Linked DNA regions of Drosophila melanogaster. The protein of the gene in region 2 interacts with the protein of the main gene of each other region in a pairwise test. Each region holds a gene or a part of one and is shown on either strand. Other genes may lie near its edges. The genes, in order: can and mi.

Region 1 (5,557 bases), on a different chromosome or scaffold from region 2:
CCCCTGTGGAAAATTCCCTAATCAAATTAGCAACAGTTAAGCGGAAGTGCGAAAATCCGCAAGCTGCATTGTTTGTTGTGTGTTTACTTTTGGCTTTGTTGCAATTTGGGATTTCGGTGTGTGTGTGCGGTGCATTTATTTTGATTTGATTGTTGGCCTCACTCAGCGGGGCTTTCGCACTCGCAAATTTGCATTTTTGGATAATTTTTGCATTTCGGATTTTGCATTCTGGCATTCGAGTATTTGCATTTGAATGTTCGCGTGCGTTGCATGAATCATTCATGTTCGAGTTTCTGTTTCTGATTCAGATTCTGGTGGTGCTGCTGCTGTTGCGGCTGGTGATGATTCAAGTATCGATTTGCATTGATTTGCATTTCAATTGCAGCTTTTCGACACTTTACAATGGATTATGCTGCAGTGTGATTTATCTATGGCCAGCATTACATATCAAGTGATTTGGCAATTGTTGCTGTCCATAATGAGGCTTTGTTTGCCATTGTGTTCGCCTCTAACTGTTGGCCCTTGACTATTGACACACATACCCATCCATGAATACCAATTGCCAATATTCCTAGTTTTTAATGCAGTTTTTTTTTTTATTTTATTTAAAGCACTTAAAGTGTGCATCCCCGTGCGCGCCATAAATCATGGCGAAAATTACAAAACAATATGCAGCTACATTTTCTGCTTCTGCTGCGGGTTGTCCTGTCGCCGGCTTTTTGTATATCCATTTTTTACGCACGTCTTTTTTATTTTATGTGCCCTGCAAAATGAGTTGCCAGCGCCGCCGACATATTGCCCGAACTGCGGAAGAATTCCAAACGCATCCGCGGGTTTTGGTCCGCCAGCATACTCGCACAATTCCACTGACAAGTGAGTGGTGAAAAGAAGTATCAAAACATAAAATTATTTTTAGAGCCGAATGAAAAATACTCTGTTAAAAAATATTCCAAATTATTTAGATAGTTGTGTAACCCTGTTGGTCATTAAGAATTTACAATAGACTGACAAACTTTCACCTTCAAGGTAAAACGATTTTACCTTTGTGAGCAGATCTTTGGGCGGAAAATTAAAAACACCCAATATACATATAGGGTATAACGTAAAATTAAAAGAGGTCCCTGAAATGGACAGTGGCATGGGAAACCTCTGCGTAGCAACAAATCCGTCGAGTATTGGGTATGCAAATTAATTTTTTTTTACCTATGGACCAGTCGTTCAGCCCCTCCACCACCCCTCGCTTTTTAAGGACACCCTGGATTCCAGCGCCCTCATGTGATGTGCTGCTGAGCCAGCATTTTGTTTCAGATCAGCGGTAGTCGCCGTGTCATGTTGGGTAAAATTTGTGAAAAAAAATGGATAAATCGAATAGAGGGAATGTATTTGAAAACATAATATCAACCACAAAAGTTGAGCTGGCCATGCCATAAAGACCATTTGAAAAGTTATAAGGTGTTGTAATATAAATTAACAATTAAGAAAGAAATATATATATATATTGGGAAATACATTTTGTTTGTTAGAAACAATGTACAATATATCCAAAAAAAAAAGTTTTAACGTCATAAAACAAAATCAGATTTTGGCTTTTTGGCAAAATGGGCTTCAAAAATACGGCCACACAATGCGCAGCTGTCAAATCGAAAACTTGTCAAGTCAAGGAAAATATTCACTTATTGCACTAGGGCTGATTTGGATTGTTCAAATATTTAAGAGCAATAAAGATGGATTTACCATTGCCAATACTAATACCATCTAGTGATGTGAGTAAGAATATGTATGCGCTTTCTAACAACTGGTTAAAATAAGTATCCAAACTCTTCATGCGCTCAATCAGGAAGTGTACGTTATTTCCGATTCGGATGATTCCGATTCCGATGATATCAGAAATGAGCTTATGAAACTGGAGGATAACAAGGATAAACCCAAAAACAAGGAACGCCAAAAGTCTAAGAATGAAAATAGTCAGATAAAAATGAACAAATGGTATTTGAAAGAATTCGAAGACCTTATGGGACTCGAAATTGCTTGCTCCGATGATGAAGACGATATAGATGATCGTAATAGCGAAATATGGAGCAGCTCGGAGTCCGATAAAATTAGCGATTCAGATGATTCCAACTCAGATGGTAAGTTTCCAAAAAGGAAATGCATATTAACAAAGTAAGGAACGTTATTTTCAGGATCGCCCACCGAATGGATTAACAGAATAAAGAATGTCAATCTATTTCCATTCAATAAAAGGTTAGCGATATTAACAAATATTTTCGGACTTAGTTTACACTAGAGTTTTTAATTCCTTTCCTTTAGTGCTGAAGATGAAAAACCAAAGGCTTGTGAAGAACTTCCCTCAATACCAGTTTTTACTGGTCCGATGCCATCGATGCCGATTTATGATGAAGAAACCTGTCAATTTGAAATGGTGCCACCCATCATACAACCAGACTTAATTAAGGAAGTAACGTAAGTCTTAAGTTATAATTAAGTTACTTCCACTAATTCTGGCACACGAATCGCAGTGACGCAGAAATGCCAATTGAGTTGGATAAATCCGATTCTGAGTTGGAAAAAGAAAAGTTAAAAGCCGATGAGGATGACAACTTTTCGGACAGTAACACCAGTTCCAGTTTTAGTTTGAGCAGTTTAGATGATTATGATTATGGTGAAACTGATCTTGATGAACAGCATAACGAGAATAAATGTACTTACTGGGAGGAAATGTCATTGCGTCCCGTTGACAAGGGCGAAGTTTCACAAGAAGAACTAATGGCTATTTTGAATGAAGACGAGAGTTCCCCAGATCATCGAAGTGAATGTGATATCGACGAAGCCATTAGGACCCGTGATGGCTCAGATTTTTACGAAGATAGTGCTCAGTTTCTGGAAAACATGGAAAATGTTAGCTTGTTGGTTATCAAAGAGGATTCGGTTTTTGCGGATTATGAATTCGCGGTAAAGAAACTTATTAAACTGATCCAATCGACACCAAGTCACTACAAATACGAGATATATATTCTGTTATATCCCTTGTTGGTCCTAACTTATCTCCAAATGATGGCCAGTGATAAGATACAGAAAGCTAGGATGCTTCTTGTTCGCTTTCAAGATCATCTCGACGATTCATATATATCAAGAATTATAAAGCTAAGAGAAATTTCCAAGCCAGCAGAAGTTCCGAATAAAGCACGCAAATTATTGGCTGGCCTTGAAAAGGTGAAGATTGAAATGTCTGAGGGAGCTTTTCGACAGTTACTTCTTTGCACAGAGGAATGGACTAGAGGTCAGCAAGAAAAATTGCTGAGCCATTTTCAAATACAGCCTTATAGTGAAGATGACAAGCCCCAGCAACGATTTGCCATAGGACAGCCTCTTTTGGAGCCGATATGGTATGGTGCTCCAGAACCCTTGCACAAAAAGGACTTTGCCGCTCGTCCTTTTTTTCAAAAACGTCGCAAGAAAAGGAGCGAACCACAGTTATCAGATAATTTACATTTGCCACCGGTAAATAGGGTTTACAATCCGATTCCCAACAAAATGGATTTGCTTCACATGAAGAGTGATGAACAGTATCGAATGAAATTAGATCGGAATAACCTGCCATCGACTTACTTGTACACAACTTCTCCCTCCGATGAGGTCGTGATTTGTGCCACCTTCTCGGAAGGCAATAGCATGTTGGCACTGGGAACTGTATCCTCTAAGGTATATGTTTTCTCTCTGAAACCCTCTAAATTGGTTCAAGTGAAAGCTGCACAGTGGCTAAAAAATCTGGATACCGGAATGGCTGGGGTTGATAAGGATATGATAGATCCCATTAAGAAGTTCACCAGACGTACTCTGTACGGACATCAAGGACCTGTCTATGGTTGTTCCTTTAATCCAGAGGATCGCTTTCTGATCACATGTTCCGAGGATTTCAGCGTTCGCTTGTGGTGCCTTCTGTCCTGGAGTTGTGTGGTTATTTTTTCCGGCCATTTGGCACCGGTTTGCTTTGTTGTTTTTGCACCAAGGGGTTATTATTTCGCCACCGCATCGGATGATTGTACGGCGAGAGTTTGGATGCAGGATAATACGAAACCCGCCCGAATTCTTCAAGGACATCTGGCCGAGCTCGGGGTGTGCCTATTTCATCCAAATCGTCACTATATGGCCACTGGATCTGCTGATTGCACTGTTAGGATCTGGGATATTGTCAAGGCTGTTCAAGTGCGCATTTTTCGTGGTCATAAAAGCAGGATAACCGCCTTGATCTACTCAATTTGCGGTCGTTATTTGGTTTCTGGAGGCGATGACAATCTCATCATGATTTGGGACACAGCCAATGAGATTTTGATGCAGTTCTTTGACCATCATAAGGCCTCGATTAATACCATGGAAATCTCTTTGGATAATAACATATTGGTTGTGGGTGGACAGGATTGCCAGCTGACCTTGTGGGACTTTGAGCAGGTGATTAAGAATTACTTGAACAGGGCCAAGATAAGTATGAAAAACCAGGCGGGAACTCAAGAATCGAGTGCCAATAATTTGCTGGTCAGCTCATTTTTCACCAAGGGAGAACCATTTTATATGATCCGCTTTACACGTCGCAATCTCTTACTTGGTTTCTGTGTGACTCCTCGAGAATTTGAGAATGATGTCCTCGACGTGAAGCTTAATCAGAACAAGCACAAGGAGGAGAAGAAAAAGGAACTCGGCGAATGGCTGGATTTTCTAGACACCATCAAATTGAAGGCTTGTTACGATCTGAAGGACGAAATTAATTTGGATACTTCGCAGGTAGAGAAGGAGAACAAATCTTAATTATTGTAAGCTCTCTCTTAAGTATTTAAATAAAAAACTGTAAATAAATGTATATAAACCATCGAAAGTTTCAAATAGAACGATTGCGTTTTGTAATTCACAAAAATAATGCTTACCCGCAAAATTATTTTTAAAGCAGGGTTGTTTCATGTTATTTATGGAATAATATTGGAGATAAACATTTCGTATGACAAATATACAAGATTTTCTGAAGCAGAGACAAACCCCCAGAGCGAAGGAGAATGCTGCAGTAACAACAATTTGACAGTTTCGAAAAAAAAAAAAACAGGTCAGGCCACGTGTACAGCTGCCCACGACTCATTCCTCCTTGAAAAAAATCCACTCCTCCTGCAGGAGATTTCTTCGTGGTCCTCACATTTACAAAAGGCGTGCAAAATTTATAGAGGCACGCATTAAAAAATCCGCCAGGCACGCTCGACTAACTGCGTCCAAACGCCCATGGGGCTGGCAGTTGAGCTTCGAATTGGTCCCGGCCGACCGCAGTCCGATGTCCCTCGTCCTGCGTCCTTCGTCCTTCGTCCTGTCCCGCATCCACGAAAAAACCCCCCTTAAGAATAAGCGACAGGACAATATATTTACGCAACTTCTTATGCTGCCGCTTTAGCCGGTGGTTGTTGTCCTTCTCTTTCGGCTTCGAAAACAGAACTCAAGTGTTGTCGTTGTCCTTGCTGCCCATGTACGCTCCCTTGGCAACCAAAATGCCCCAGCCCCACCACCTCTACGCCACTGCAGC
Region 2 (6,986 bases):
TGATCTTCACGTTCAGCTATGGCGTGACGTATATATTTCCCGCCGCCCTTCCCATCATCAGGCGGGAGGTGGGCGAGGGCACCTACAGCCTGTCCGCCTACTACGTGGCCCTGGTGCTCTCCTTCGTGCCCGTGGCCTTCTTCAAGGGCTACGTCTTCCTGTCGGTGATATATGCCTCCATATACTACACGCGCGGCTTCCTTTTGTACCTCAGCATGGGCTTCCTGATGAGCCTGTCCGCGGTGGCGGCTGTTGGCTATGGGGTCTTCCTCTCCAGCCTCTTCGAGTCGGATAAGATGGCCTCCGAGTGCGCGGCGCCCTTCGATCTGATCTTCCTTATCTTTGGCGGCACCTACATGAATGTGGACACAGTGCCTGGACTAAAGTACCTCTCGTTGTTCTTCTACTCCAACGAGGCGCTGATGTACAAGTTCTGGATCGACATCGATAATATCGGTGAGCTTACCTCCAAGTAGATAATCAGGATGCATGTTATCCAATAATATTTTATCCAGACTGCCCCGTCAACGAGGATCATCCGTGCATCAAGACCGGAGTGGAGGTGCTGCAGCAGGGATCCTATCGCACCGCCGACTACACCTATTGGCTGGACTGCTTCAGTCTGGTGGTGGTGGCCGTCATCTTTCACATCGTGTCCTTTGGGCTGGTTAGGCGATACATTCACCGCAGTGGTTACTATTGATTGGGGCGCTTTTATTATACTAATTTCAGTTTACACTGTTACAGAACTTGCTTCAGCTTAATTTCAGTTGCATTGAGTACTCGTGCGGTAGTTAAGTAAAATTTGTAATTTTTAAGCACAAAATGTTCTTAATACATCTAAACTTCAGTGGAAAATATTGCATTCATCAAATTTGAGTCGCATAAAATAAATCCCATATAGATCATGTATGTATGCCGTTACTAAAAGAAATTTAACTTGCATTTGAACTACATTTGAGCTCAAGGAAAAGTCGGGAGTCTTGCGAGTCGAAGAAGAGGCGATCTATAAGATCTATATCAGATTATTTTACTTATACCTATTATTATACGATTGTCTGTCATTATATATAAATGGTTTGAAAGGGTTTAAAGAGACCTGACAGTTGAATTAATAAATTAAGCTAAAACAAACAAAAAATAATGGAAACAAAAACGAGTTAATCTTTTTGCTTACAAGGCTAAAGAGCTAAAACTCATTTACACGTCGGGCAGCTCCTTGCCTCTGCTCCTAGAATTTCAAGGGATCGGAGAGGATTTATGGGCATCATATTATGATAATGACGTTTCAACAATTATCCTATTGGCCCTACTCTTCTAGCAGTCAAAGGAAATCTGTCTCTTGGCCTTGCCTCCGGAGTGGTTGCTGTTGCCCACGGGTGGCATTTGGAACTTGCGCGCAGAGCTGTTACTTCCGCCGCCTCCGAAGTAGGGACTGATGTTCTGCTGGTCCTTGCCGGTAAAGTTCTTTTGCGCCGAACGGCGAGCCTCGCAGTCCATGTTCTCGCGCAGCGCGAGTCCGCCTAGGTTACTCTTCGACGAGCTGTTCTGGAGCGAGGCATTGGGCCGGATGGGTTGGCGTTCCTTGCAGAAGAGATCCTCCGAGATGCGATCCACTATACTCGATTGCGTTTCGGAGCAGGCATTTGTGGGCAGGCTCATTTGACTCAGACCGAAGGAATCGATGGAGTTCTCGCTGCCGAAGATGTTGTGCAGGGATCGCGCCGAACCTGCTGCTGATCCTACGACCGATGTTTGCGAGAGAAGCAGTTTACGCTGGGCAAACTCCTCCGGACCGATGTAGCCCGAGAGGCGGGTGCTCGACAACCGCTTGGCCTCGCATTCCTGACTGCGCGCCTGCAGGTAAACGTCGTCCGCATTCTTCCCCGCAATCACGCTAAAGGCAAACTTCTTGGCCAGCCTGCGGAAGGTGGAAGTTCCAATAGTGCCTATACGAGTATTATATCCACCCCTTACTCACCTTAGCAGTGTTTCGCTGTTGCTGGACGAATGTCCCAGGTAGAATTCCTGGAAGATGCGCTTCACAATGCGCGTAAGGTCTGCCGCATGCTGACGGAATTGCTCGTGCTTCGGCGTAATTTTCTTCTCCTGCAGTGCCTGCGACACAGCCCAAAGGAGTTTCTGTGGCAATAAACGAGATTAGTTATGACGGTTAAGTGAACGAATCTTAGGGATAAACCATACACAAAAGGCATAATTTGATGTATAGATAAATAGAGGCTCACCTTTCGCTGGTTATCAGTCATACTGCTATTCGGTGTGGCGCTCATCTCCGAGTGCGCTCTGTGCAGTTTACTCGCCAGTGGCGTACCGCTTGCAAAAGATGCCGGGTTAACCAGGTTGCTACTGCTGCCGCTCAGGCCAAGACTGAGCCGCGTCTGCCCAGGGGTAGCAGCCGCGTGCTGCGCCAACTTTAGCTGAACACCCGCAGTGGAGGAACCAGCTCCAATGCAGAAACTCTGGCTCTTGATCTTTAGAGCGCGAGGAGTCAACCCACTGGGTCCACTGCTCTCGGCCCGGAAGAGCTTGCTGCTCTGGCTAGCCAAATCAGCTGAATCCTCGTCGTCATCGCAGGCGTTTCTTTTCCGCTTCAGGATCGACTCCAGCTGGTTACTGCTGCCCTGGTGATCCGGCGAAAAGAGAGCGCGCTTCGACCGCTCTACGCGGTTCGCAATCTCCGGCTTGAAGAGCGGTTTGGGCGGCATTAGCTGCTGTTGCTGCAGGGTTTTGGCCGGACTTTGGAATAAGGCACGCTTAGAGGTTTCTCTCGAAGGTCCTGGCTTGATGAGATCAGTGCGGTAGAGGCGCTTTCGGGCGGATGAAGATGGCGTCTTGCGAGCTGGTGCAAATGCATCATTAACAAAAGTACATTGGCTTATCTTATCAAATCACTCACCTTTTTTCTTGCTGCCCGGCGTCTTTCGCTTGGGCGTGGCCTTGCGTTTATTTCGCACTTTTCTGTAAGCCAAAATCATGGAAATTAGTATGTGTTTGGAGTTTTTAATCACAAAAGCTACCCACTTCTTATCTAGCATTATTTGTGGTCCAATTGAGCTGTTAAGCTTCTGTGAGTTGGTGGCTAGATTCGCAGATGAAAATATGGCACGTCGTTTGGCCAAATGACTGAGGCGATTGCCAGGCGATTGGGTTAACATTCTGTAAGGAGTTGGGTTCAGTGAGTTAAACGTTCACACGGCTGACTAATTTATTACTCACTTCATACGCATGTTTCTCTTCTTGGCGCTCGATGGCGATCTCACATAGGACGTCGCGGTTTCCACGCCCACATAGCGGTCCACCACGGACATGCTGAGGTATTCATTTTGTTCGGCAGCCTTGTTAAGATTGTAGCTGTGAATGGAAGCGGGTAATGAAAACACTGCAAGCACAAACGAATCCTTTAAAGAGCATACCTCAGTCCATGATGTCTTACTCCCAGCACATCCCGCCAGCCCATGTTTTGAGCCTCCGAGAGACTGTGAGATGGTCGAAACAGTGAGGTTGTTTCGCTAATGCCACTGTCCTCGATTCTGGGTGTAGATGGTGGGCTATCCTTGGAGAGAAAGTTTAGCACGTTTGATTTCATGCTAAGCACCATTTTGATGACGTCCACATCGGGTGCAGTCACCGAGGGCGGCGGACGAACTCCCTGTAGGCAGCGACGAATCCGCCGATACAGCTCCCGTTCTCTCCTGCAGTTCTCCAAGAAGTGCGACCGGGGGTCGTTGGCGTTCAGCTGGGTGCTCGAAAGGTCCATCGTCTGCTCATCCACAAAACTGGACTCCGTGGGAGCATTCAGCGAGGAGCGAGCTCGTGCGTCGCTGGTGCACTGCGACTCTTCCAACACTTCGGGCAGATCCTCCAGCCTGGTGGGCGGCTCTTTTTCCGGTTGCTCGTCGTTGTCAGCTTCATCGTCGCTGTCGGCAAAGAGATCAGGTGAGCGTTCGTTGTTGAACTTCTGCTGCGAGGTGTTGAGCGAGGTTTCTAGCACGTTTGACAGACGTGGATTCGTAGCATTGGAGGGCCCAGGCTTGTCCTGAATTTCGGGCTTTGCGGTCAGGCTCTTGATTTTGCCATCGAAGGAGAGGCTGCCCGTTGTCGTGGTGGCTGTCGTGGCCACTGACACGGCCATGTCCACGGCATTGCAGCTGTTCTCCTCGATGAGGGTGTCGTAGAACCGGGGAAAGACAATCTTGCCCGGCGAGGGACGTCGGACGGCAGGGGGCTCCACCTCCGGCAGCTTAAGGTTCTGCAGCTGGGAGCCATACAGACGCTTGTTCACCTGGCCATATGGGCTGTCTCCGAAGCCCAGGAACTGCGATTCCTGGCTGCCCGTCTTCGGATTGGGTGGCGTTGGGGTTTCCTTGATGGGCTGGCTGCTCAGTGCTTTCGGTTTCATCAGATACGGTAAGTTCATGTGATCCTCGTCAGATATGTGGCTCTCATTGTTTTCACTGAGCGAAGACTATAAAACACAAAGTTTCAGCAAGCTCGCAACCGCAAGGACACCAATTAGTCTTACCCCGCTTCCTGTAGAAGGCTCCGATTCGTAGCTGTTGTTTATCTTGTTTCCAATAGTGGCCATTCTTCGAATAAAAATAGATTTCTCGTTGTAGTTATAGCTTCTTCTATAGCCCGAAGTTATTTTAGGCACGCGGCATTTTGTACAGGCTGCTCCAGTTTGTGGAGCCTGACGAATGGCTAGATTGACGGGGCAGAGAAAAGTGAAAGTAAGCACGGGGAGTCACTGACGATTTTCTTATCTTAGCCGCATTAATCTTCTTGGCAGTGCATTTACCTTTTGGAAATGTGGCACTTTTCCCAGGTCGGGGAAAACTAAGTTACCCAAGCGAAAAACGCGCGTAGAAGTCTGACTTTTGCGGACATTTAACGCGCTCGAGTCGCACGCTGCACGCCTATCGCTAGTATCCAGTTGTGCCCGCGAGCTTGTAGCTCCTAATGCATGTTGTCTAGCTCCTTAAAATACCTTTAATTTGTTAATTTATCTATAAAACACTGTTGTTAAAATCGCCTGTATGAACATCTGCCTGCTTTTGGCGGTGGTACTAACGCGTCTGGGAAATGCAATTAGTGATGGGCGATAGTTTTGCTATCGGGTGGCATCTTCCAAGCGGTAATCGGGGTCGTGATTTTTCTAGTAGTCATATTCCTGATTGGAATCCTTGCTAACCAATCAAACTAACACATAAATATATTTTTTACGAATATATTTACTTGTGAAACAAAGTTATTTCCTTGCGAAATTCTACTCTGCAAGACCAGCTATCGCTGCCAGCAGCAACTATCGCACCTCGTGTCAGCCCTGGTAAACAGCTGTTCGCGCATAACATAACACAATAACAACAAGCCTTCAAATTTATTAAATCTTTTATCTTTACTGCTGACTGCGCGCTTTTAATCGCAGCGCCCGCTTTGAAAACCCCCACCGACTCCGATAAATTCAGTTGTGCCCAAGAAATCAGACGCAGCAGGCCGCCAAAGGGCCAATTACGCGCTTCCCAACCACTGGCTCTGCAAGCAACAACAACAACAGCAGCAACAACCACTGAGCCAACAACACATCATCTCATCCATTTTACAAAAAAAAAAAACGTCACTAAAGTCCACGGAAAGCGATGCGATTGAGCCGCTAATCTCGGCGAGATGCGCGGAATCGAGGGCAAAGTGCTTGTTCTGGGCTCGCGAGGTAAGCACACACGTTTCCACCCGTTTCCGATTTCAATGGCCATTCGGCGGACTCCATTCAGAAGTCTCAATGATCCGCATAATGACAGTAATTCCATCAATTGCCCAGTGATAAGATTAACAACCGGGGTGAGCCGATAAGCCGTAGCCTTGAACTCCACTGGCCCCAATTGGGAATCTGCAGGCTGCATGCTGCAATCTGGATTTAGGTAGATGCAGAAGAGAGTCTGGCAAAGACAGCGTGTCTGGTTGGGATTAGGCTGAACTAGCCGATGAATTTAACCACACACGATGTCATCACATCAAGATGACGTTGCCCTTGGGATTTGGATTTACGATAAGAAATCTGTGTTAATGGGCCAAATTTGATGGCTTCCGTAGTGCACAACTCCGAAACTTAAAATTGTTCATTTCTACATTTGTACTCCAAAAACATATCAAGGGGGAAGCCTCCACCGTCTACCCTCTTCTACACAACAAAGTGGACATTTTTTGCAGCGTAATCGGCTGACGAATTCGCAATGAGTATATGTATTTAAGTTTGGCCCAAGGTCAACTAAGGGGGCTTATATGCACAGCGGGTGCAGTATTTGCTCTGCTTTTTCGCCAAACAAAGGGACGCATTGATAAAAAAAAGGCGGTACTTTCCTCGGAATATACGTTCTTCCCATAATCGCCGGATGATTCAGTGCATGCACATACTGCAGCTCCACGCGGAGATTCCCCGTCTGATCAAACACAGAGGGGCTTCTCTGAGCCACAAAAAAGTGGGCGCCGAACAAAGAATCTCGTGGTCGGTAGGCGATTCCTTATCGCTGTTTACCACCTTTTGCGGGCTAGTGCGTCTCCAGTTTTTGTTTTGTTTATTCGGCTCAATTTGCGTGATTAATCAGCGGTCAATTAATGCGTGCGCCATTCCACGTTCACTGATAAGCTGCACGGCATTATGCTTGAAGCGAAATAGGGCTCACGGGTACACAGAAAGACAATGCTGTATCTCTCGATTAATTGCATAATTTGTGTTCTTGTCTTGCAGGTGTGGGCAAAACACGTTTGGTCATCCGCTACATAAAGAACACGCTGCACCGCAAGGAAAGCGAGGTACCCACGATAGCCGTGTCCTTCTTCACGTGCAACATCATCCTGGACGAGGTCAAAATTAAATTGCAAGTGCGTATACAGCAGCCAGAATATGTATCAGTGCGACCAACTCTTTTGGGGCGAACGCAAATGGAATTGCCTCGTAAAAAAGCCGAAGC

The links.
Region 1: the proteins of mi (region 2) and can interact in a two-hybrid assay, tested with the Drosophila melanogaster proteins (one large-scale study listed by BioGRID).

What each region holds. Positions count from the first base shown.
Region 1 is NT_037436.4:10,263,233-10,268,789, reverse strand, and holds can (cannonball), read left to right. Parts: upstream 1-1,678; 5' UTR 1,679-1,724; coding exon 1,725-1,763; intron 1,764-1,837; coding exon 1,838-2,129; intron 2,130-2,183; coding exon 2,184-2,244; intron 2,245-2,310; coding exon 2,311-2,463; intron 2,464-2,519; coding exon 2,520-4,803; 3' UTR 4,804-4,881; downstream 4,882-5,557.
Region 2 is NT_033778.4:23,521,970-23,528,955, reverse strand, and holds mi (minus), read right to left. Parts: upstream 5,101-6,986; 5' UTR 4,820-5,100; intron 4,723-4,819; 5' UTR 4,607-4,722; coding exon 4,544-4,606; intron 4,487-4,543; coding exon 3,435-4,486; intron 3,373-3,434; coding exon 3,238-3,372; intron 3,178-3,237; coding exon 3,043-3,177; intron 2,980-3,042; coding exon 2,918-2,979; intron 2,861-2,917; coding exon 2,247-2,860; intron 2,143-2,246; coding exon 1,982-2,142; intron 1,922-1,981; coding exon 1,318-1,921; 3' UTR 704-1,317; downstream 1-703. Other genes in the region: RabX1, read left to right, coding at 5,686-5,728, 6,764-6,897.